Drosophila melanogaster: one gene and its partner. The protein of the gene in region 1 purifies or fractionates together with the protein of each later gene. This does not show direct contact. Each region holds a gene or a part of one and is shown on either strand. Other genes may lie near its edges.

The links. Proteins that work in one complex are often made in the same cells at the same time.
Region 2: the proteins of CG11839 (region 1) and Sps1 purify together in Drosophila melanogaster (affinity purification with mass spectrometry, with the first as the bait; one large-scale study listed by BioGRID). This does not show direct contact.

Annotation. Positions count from the first base shown.
Region 1 is NT_033777.3:25,068,066-25,071,471, forward strand, and holds CG11839 (uncharacterized protein), read left to right. Parts: upstream 1-1,861; 5' UTR 1,862-1,899; coding exon 1,900-1,985; intron 1,986-2,137; coding exon 2,138-2,816; 3' UTR 2,817-2,849; downstream 2,850-3,406. Other genes in the region: Stt3B (catalytic subunit 3B of the oligosaccharyltransferase complex), read right to left, coding at 1-38, 98-1,489; CG11836 (uncharacterized protein), read left to right, coding at 3,353-3,406.
Region 2 is NT_033778.4:14,268,215-14,272,435, reverse strand, and holds Sps1 (selenophosphate synthetase 1), read left to right. Parts: upstream 1-1,777; 5' UTR 1,778-2,273; coding exon 2,274-3,470; 3' UTR 3,471-3,664; downstream 3,665-4,221. Other genes in the region: conv (convoluted), read right to left, coding at 46-648, 708-877, 938-1,098, 1,166-1,266.

The DNA of each region.
Region 1 (3,406 bases):
TGGGCATCATGCTTAGTACGATGCTTCAGCTTGCCAGCCTGCAAATGCGATGTATTTTAAAATCAAATCCCATGGATGTGTGTTAGTAAGAACTCACCTTGTCGTACAGCGTCTTCTTCTCAATGGAATCCTCAGCTTCATCCACTTCGGTGGCTGCGCTTATGGCTGTGCCCATTCGCTTAGACGAATCCTCTTGCAGGAACACATCCAACAGTCCCGAAAAGGCCACTCCGGCCAGCATGCACACCACCGGCGTGAGGGTCAACATCAAACGCACCATCACACCAGCGAAGTAAACCGCACTGATGGCGTACAGCACCACGAAAACGCGCTCGTCGTTGATCTGCTTGATGCAGTACCACACTCCCACTGGGAAGGCGCACACCAGGATGTGCAGATCAAAGAAGAACGAGAACCAAGTGGTGGGCTGATGCTCCGACACGGATGCAATGATGGGAATGTGGATCTTGGCGTAGCCAGTATCCCACAGCGAGTAGAAGCGTCCACTCCACGGGGCCACAACGCCCAGCATGGTGAGCACCACGACGGCCACAAAGACGCCAACGCCCACCAGCAATCCGCCGACGATGAACAGCTTCCGGAACTCGTTGCGCGACAGCACGGACTGCAAATGGCGCAAGGTGGCCACGGCCATAAGGAGCACAAACACTCCCAGCGCAGCCATGTGTTCACTGGTGCGTATCGGTTGGAATCCCACGAAGGGGATCTGCATGGAGAACAGCAGTCCCAGGATGTAGAAGGTGCTGTAGCTGGTCAGCAGACGCGGCGAGTACCTGCCCATAATGAGCAGTACGAAGACGTGCAGGGGTATCAGGTTGATGATGAACACGTAGCCACCCCAGGCGGACACCATGTAGAAGTAGGACAAAGCGGCTGCGGCCGACCAGAACACGGATCCAGTCTTCACTGAGCGCACCCACAGGAAGTAGGTGAACTGCAGGGCGAATATGGCAATGCCCTCGTTATCGTACGATCCAGCCACCGACCTACTGATGTAGCCAGGCACGATGGCGATGAAGCTGGCGGCGAAGAGGCCGGCGCCCGCGGACCACAGCTCCTTGGTCAGCAGGTAGGTGGAGATGGAGGTCAGGCCACTGAAGATCGGCGCCAGGAACACGCAGATGTCACGAATATGGACCGGTATGTTGAGTACGTGCAGCAGCCAATGGATTCCGCCGGACGTAATCATCAGGCCGGGATAGACGGTACCGCCCACAATCCTGCCGAGCGGATACCATGCGCGCTCGTCGAACCAGTTGAGGAAGTTGTACCAACCATTCTGCACCATGTAGGCGGTGGCCCGGTAGTTGAACCACGGATCAAACTCATGGATAATCGACTCGAAACGGATGACGGCGAAGAGGCGAGAGGAAAATCCGGCCAGCCAGGCGATTAGCAGGATGGCGAAGGTGATTAGGCTGCTGTAGCCAGCCACCTTGCTGTTCAGCATCTTCGGCGTCCGATTCATGTCCCAATTCCAGCCAGTAACTCGAAAATTATAACCGATCTGAAATGCAACGACACATTCTTCGCTTAGACACGTAGTCTAAAAAAATTGCCGGGTAGACTGCCAACTCGGTTTTAGATACGCTATCGATAGTGCAATCGATAACAAGACCAGGGCAACGTAACTTTGAATGCTTTTAAATTTGTACTTGCCTCGTTTTCGTTGTATTCCAAAATAATTTAAAATACATCTAAACAATTTTTTGGAATAACTTTTTGTTCCATTTATTTGCATAGCATAAAAAAATAAGCAAACTCTCCATTCCATTTGTTCTGTGTCTTGTTCAAAATAATCGCCGTTGCGCTCATCTCTAGTTTAATTCCTATGATTGACAGAAGCCGCTGAAAAACCTAAGAATATTGAAAATCAACATGAATAATGGGAATATAAAACGCCTTCAAAAGAAACTCAGCGTTTCGAAAAAGCCAGCAGTCACTGTGGATTCACCATTGGCAAAATATCCTTTACAAAAGCAAAAAACCCACTGAAATTCTATTGTTGTTTACACTTTCTAGCCGGTGTTTACTAAAACATGTTGTTTTCTAATATAACTTTTAATTTCGAATAAATATCCAGCTAGTTGGTTTCCTTAACTGAACTTAACTATACGTATGACTCCTCGGGCATCTTGACCTGCATTATTTGCAGGATTCCTATCAAACCCAACGTCTGGAAGGTGCATATAAATTCCAAGCAGCACAAACTGAACGTCGATCAGGCTAAGCAGAATAAGGTGGAGAAACCCGTCACCACTACTGCACCCAAGGATCCTACGGGTCCGTCCACCAAGACTTCAGCTCCTGCCAAAAACTCCAGCACACTGCCAGATAAAACTCCACAGAGCAGCCAGGAAAAGCATCCTCCCCTCATTCAAGAGAAAACTGCCCAGGGAAATGCGAGCAGCAAGCCTGAGAATGAAACTACTGTCGAGAAACTGCCAGAAAAGTTCTTCGACGAGGATAAGACCAATAAATCGGAGGCCGCTCGCCTTCAGGACGAGGAATGGCAGCGATTCCAGCAGGAGATCAAGCGGGCGGACACGGAATCCAGTGAAATTGTGGCCGACGAGCAGGAGGACATCAATCTCAAGCGACACATCAAGGAGATCGACGAGCAGATCGACAACTGGAAGAGATTTATTAAAATTAACGATCAGAAAAAAGTACTCCTTAGTAAAAAGCGAAGAGTAGACCCCAAGATGGAGGTCGATCCGGAATTGAGTTCAAGCGAAGAAGATTGCAGTGTGGATGATTTGTTCGACTGGAGAACGAAAAATCTGCATAGCTAGAGAATAAATATGGTATTAAAATGTTACTGTTATAAAACAACAAACGTCTTTTAATTAACGCATTATTCCATTCAAAAGTCTTTCCAAAGCCAAAAAAATTCAAAAAAAAAAGCGTGTTAGAAAATTTTGAAAATATAATTTCGTAGATTTTTATAAACTGAAAGTGAAAAAAACTGGTGGAACAGCTGACACATCTTGACCATGAAAGTGGTCAACAGGTAGAAAGTGGTACGTGGCCACACTGCGACTAACTCTCACATTTTGTATTAGCGCTAAGCGATCCGTACGCTACATTACTATCAGACTTAGTACATATTTTATGTTACATTAATTAGTTACAGACTCTTATTTATTCTTAAGCCGTATCTACAGAAACCTTGTTAATGTTGTGTTGAGTATTACGTATTAGTTGTGCAAATGTTTTGTTGTGTTTAAGAATGTTTTGAACTCGTTACGTTGTTTGTTTGATGTGATCAAGTTTCCCATAAACACAAACATATCCCCCCATTTGTTACAATGATATCTAATTCGTGAACATGAGCCTAAAGTATATAATCTTTTTTTGGATGTTGACGGCGAACTATTCAAGT
Region 2 (4,221 bases), on another chromosome or scaffold:
GCAGCAATTAGTTAAATTTTTCAAATTTTATATTAGCAATTGTACCTCCACATAGTTCATCTGGGTAAACATCTGGAACTCGATCTTCTTAAGACGGTTGCGTGCAAGATCAATAGTTCCAATGCGGGCAATTGAGCCGAAAGTACCACGACCAATATCCGTGAGCACATTATCGCTGAGGAAAAGACGACGGAGGAAACGCATACCCCTAAAACTATTCGCATCTAGGCGTGCAATCTGGTTGTGGGACAAATGGAGCACCTTCAACACAGAGTTTCTGGCAAAAGTTCCGCGACTAAGTTCGCTTAGGGCATTATGAGAAACGTTGCACCATCCCAGCTTTGTCAGATCAGCTATGTGCTGTGCCTCCAGCTTTTTGATCTGGTTGTGACTTATATCCAAGACCTCCAACTCTCTTAGATTCTTAAATTGGTTTCGTTTCAGATTCTCCAATTGATTTCCATGCAAGTCGAGCGTTTTTAGTTTCCGCAATGGCTGGAAAGTCTCAATAGGCAGATCACTTAGGTTACCATTGGTCACACGTATGATTCCCAGACTATTGGCGATCTCTTGGCCAGCAAATAGATCCTTGGGTAGCTGTTGGAACGCATGGCCATCGATTACGAGTTCCTTAGCTTTTCCTAGAATCTGAAAAAAGAATTTCCCGTTTAGATAACGATGGTATCGGTATATTGTTTAATTCTTACGCCGAATCCTAGTAAACCAACGTGGCTTAGATTTGTGCGAAGTAAATGCAGTTGCTCCAAAGTATTATTTACTCCATAGAAAACATAATCCTCAATGGTGGCCAATGGTGTTTCTTCTATGATCAGCATTCGTGCTTTGATATGAGCAAATAGTGGCCCATATAGACGAACTAGAAAGAGAATTTGATTCTTCAGCTTAACAGACTAAAAGGACGTGTAGAAGTACACACCGAAATGTCCTCTGTAGATGGTCAACTCCTCGATGGGCATACCAAAAGAGGCCAAATTCTGAAGGGCTACGGATAAGGTAGCCAAGTTTGTATTTTCGCACCGAATGTAGAGGCCATTATCGCTGCCCTTCACACATTCGCAGGGGTACAAGGCCTTTGATCTGATTTGAAAAAAAAACACCATATAAGTGAAGAAATATGTAATATACAATATTTGGAATAACTCACTTTTTTGGACACTTGAATTCGGGTTCGCCATACACATATTCCGAACTGGCTAGGGCAATGAAGTGCAGCAAAACGAGAGTGCGCAGGCGTAGCTGAATCATGTTTTAATGATTTCGTCACCGTTTTAATTTAGTTTATCCCATGGCCCAAAACCAAGTTCGCTGCTCAAGTCTTTTGTGTGGGCTTCGATTTCCTGAAACTTATAGTTCTTTGTTTAACGATGTTCCGCTTGAATGAGGTGGGTTTTTTTTTGGGATGTGGAGTAAAGTTAACTTGTCTTATCAACGAACAAAGGTAAATGGTTTCTTCTACTTTTACTTTTCGCTCTGCTGGCGCAACAGGTTTTCATGGGCCGCTCTTGTGCGCTCTTTGTGACCAGCACTTTGGAGCTCTAATTGAATTAATGCCAACTATATTAACTGCTCCCGAAAGTCAGAGCACTGTGAACCACAGTTTCCACTTCGGTTCCCCCATTTATTCCGCGGTTTTAACATATTTTTATTTATTTTACCCTTGGCGCACAATACAATCGATAGATTTCGGGCGAGTTGGCAGCCCCGTTGAACCATCGCTTCAGACAATCGGCATCCCAAATATCGAATCAGCCGCACACGCTAATACAACCCTGTTGTGACATCTCGCTCGTTGGAAAAGCAAAAACCAGGCGCAAAATAAATATAATTTGCTAACGTTACTCTACAATTATCTTTGTACAATCGCACAAGCAAACGTAAGTACCAAAAGACAAACGAACGCAACGAACCAAATGGCCAATTCAAAGCGCGCACTTTTTGGCATTTTGCAATTGAAATGAGTGGGCATTGTTCACGTTGCTCGCCTCGTCGACAGGGAGAAATACTGACTTCGCCCGTTTTAGCCGCCATCGCGACTGCAGCCAATCACGGGCCGCGCTACACACACGCGGCAGAAAATCCGTGTACATACACGTCTGAGCGCTGTGGTATTGGTGGCCGGGGAGAACGCGAGTTACTCGCTGCATAGAGTAGCCCACTATGTGTTTATTGCGCGGCAAAAGTGCGTTAATCGGTTAAAGCCGCTACTTACATTCTGTTCTTTGCATCTCCCCCATCCACAGCTATAAAGCAAGATGAGCTACGCCGCTGATGTGCTGAACTCGGCCCATTTGGAGCTCCATGGTGGTGGCGACGCCGAGTTGCGTCGTCCATTCGATCCCACGGCCCATGATTTGGATGCATCCTTCCGCCTTACACGCTTCGCAGATCTAAAGGGGCGCGGCTGCAAAGTGCCGCAGGATGTGCTCTCCAAGCTGGTGTCCGCCCTGCAGCAGGACTACTCTGCCCAGGACCAGGAACCGCAGTTTCTCAACGTGGCCATTCCCCGCATCGGTATTGGCCTGGACTGCTCCGTCATTCCGCTGCGACACGGCGGACTCTGCCTGGTGCAGACCACCGATTTCTTTTACCCCATTGTCGATGATCCCTACATGATGGGCAAAATTGCGTGCGCCAATGTGCTCAGCGATTTGTATGCCATGGGAGTCACAGATTGCGATAACATGCTGATGCTGTTGGCGGTCAGTACCAAGATGACAGAGAAGGAGCGTGACGTGGTCATTCCGCTGATAATGCGAGGCTTTAAGGACTCCGCTTTGGAGGCAGGCACCACTGTGACTGGAGGCCAGAGCGTGGTCAATCCGTGGTGCACCATTGGTGGGGTTGCCTCGACCATTTGCCAGCCAAATGAGTATATTGTGCCAGATAATGCCGTGGTAGGGGATGTACTGGTGCTAACCAAGCCACTGGGCACCCAAGTGGCCGTGAATGCCCACCAGTGGATTGACCAGCCGGAGCGCTGGAACCGCATTAAGCTGGTGGTGTCCGAAGAAGATGTACGCAAGGCCTACCACCGGGCGATGAACTCTATGGCTCGCCTCAACCGCGTAGCCGCTCGCCTCATGCACAAGTACAATGCCCACGGAGCCACCGATATTACTGGATTCGGACTACTAGGCCACGCTCAAACCCTGGCTGCACATCAGAAAAAGGATGTCTCCTTTGTTATCCACAATCTGCCGGTGATCGCCAAGATGGCTGCAGTGGCCAAAGCCTGCGGCAACATGTTCCAGCTGCTGCAGGGCCACTCGGCGGAGACCTCGGGAGGATTACTGATCTGCCTGCCGCGAGAGCAGGCCGCTGCTTATTGCAAGGACATCGAGAAGCAGGAGGGCTACCAGGCCTGGATCATCGGCATCGTTGAGAAGGGCAATAAGACCGCACGCATCATCGACAAGCCCCGCGTCATTGAGGTGCCCGCCAAGGACTAGGTCTCCATTGCCTGACCATCTGCTATTGTCTACCTTAAGTATCTTAATATTAACGTAACGGCTGCTACATTCAGTTGTAACCGGCATGATCGGTCTTTGTTTTTTATAAAAAAGCTTATCAACTACAGATTCACTGATCATTATAATCTTGGACGTCTCTACTGCAATACGAGTGAATAAAATGAAAACACTTGAATCTTTTGTATCGAGTAATTGGAATGCGGGGCATCTGAATGAGCTTTTTCCAGTCAACTTTGTTATTAAATTACAGCTCACAGTTTGGCAAAAAGTGGAGCATCTTCGGAATCGCATACATTTTGAACAGTTGTGTGTTGAGAATTTAATCGACTTATTTAACCCACTAAATAAGTTGTAGAAGTCACATTTATTTTTGTTTAGTTAGTGCACCTGCGCTTTGAGGCTAAAAACTCAGCTGGTGTAAATTTTAAATTTGCTTGCTGATTTTAGTTTACAGTCGCATGCTTATGAAATCAGCACGCGTTTTGAAAGTCAAATTGTTGGAGGTTTAAGTGAATTTTAATCGTTAAGCTTTGTTTCGCAGTTCAAACTTGGGAGCGGGTTATCAGGAAAGTAATTGTCAAGTACCAAGCCAGCAAAAAGAAGTGTCATGTATCTCATTTAGATACGTGTGCTGATAGTACCTTCAGATAGTTTAAAACATGTTTGAGTACAGGAATATTCTTACTAAAAATATGATCATTTTGAACTGAACTTCATTTGAAAATTAATT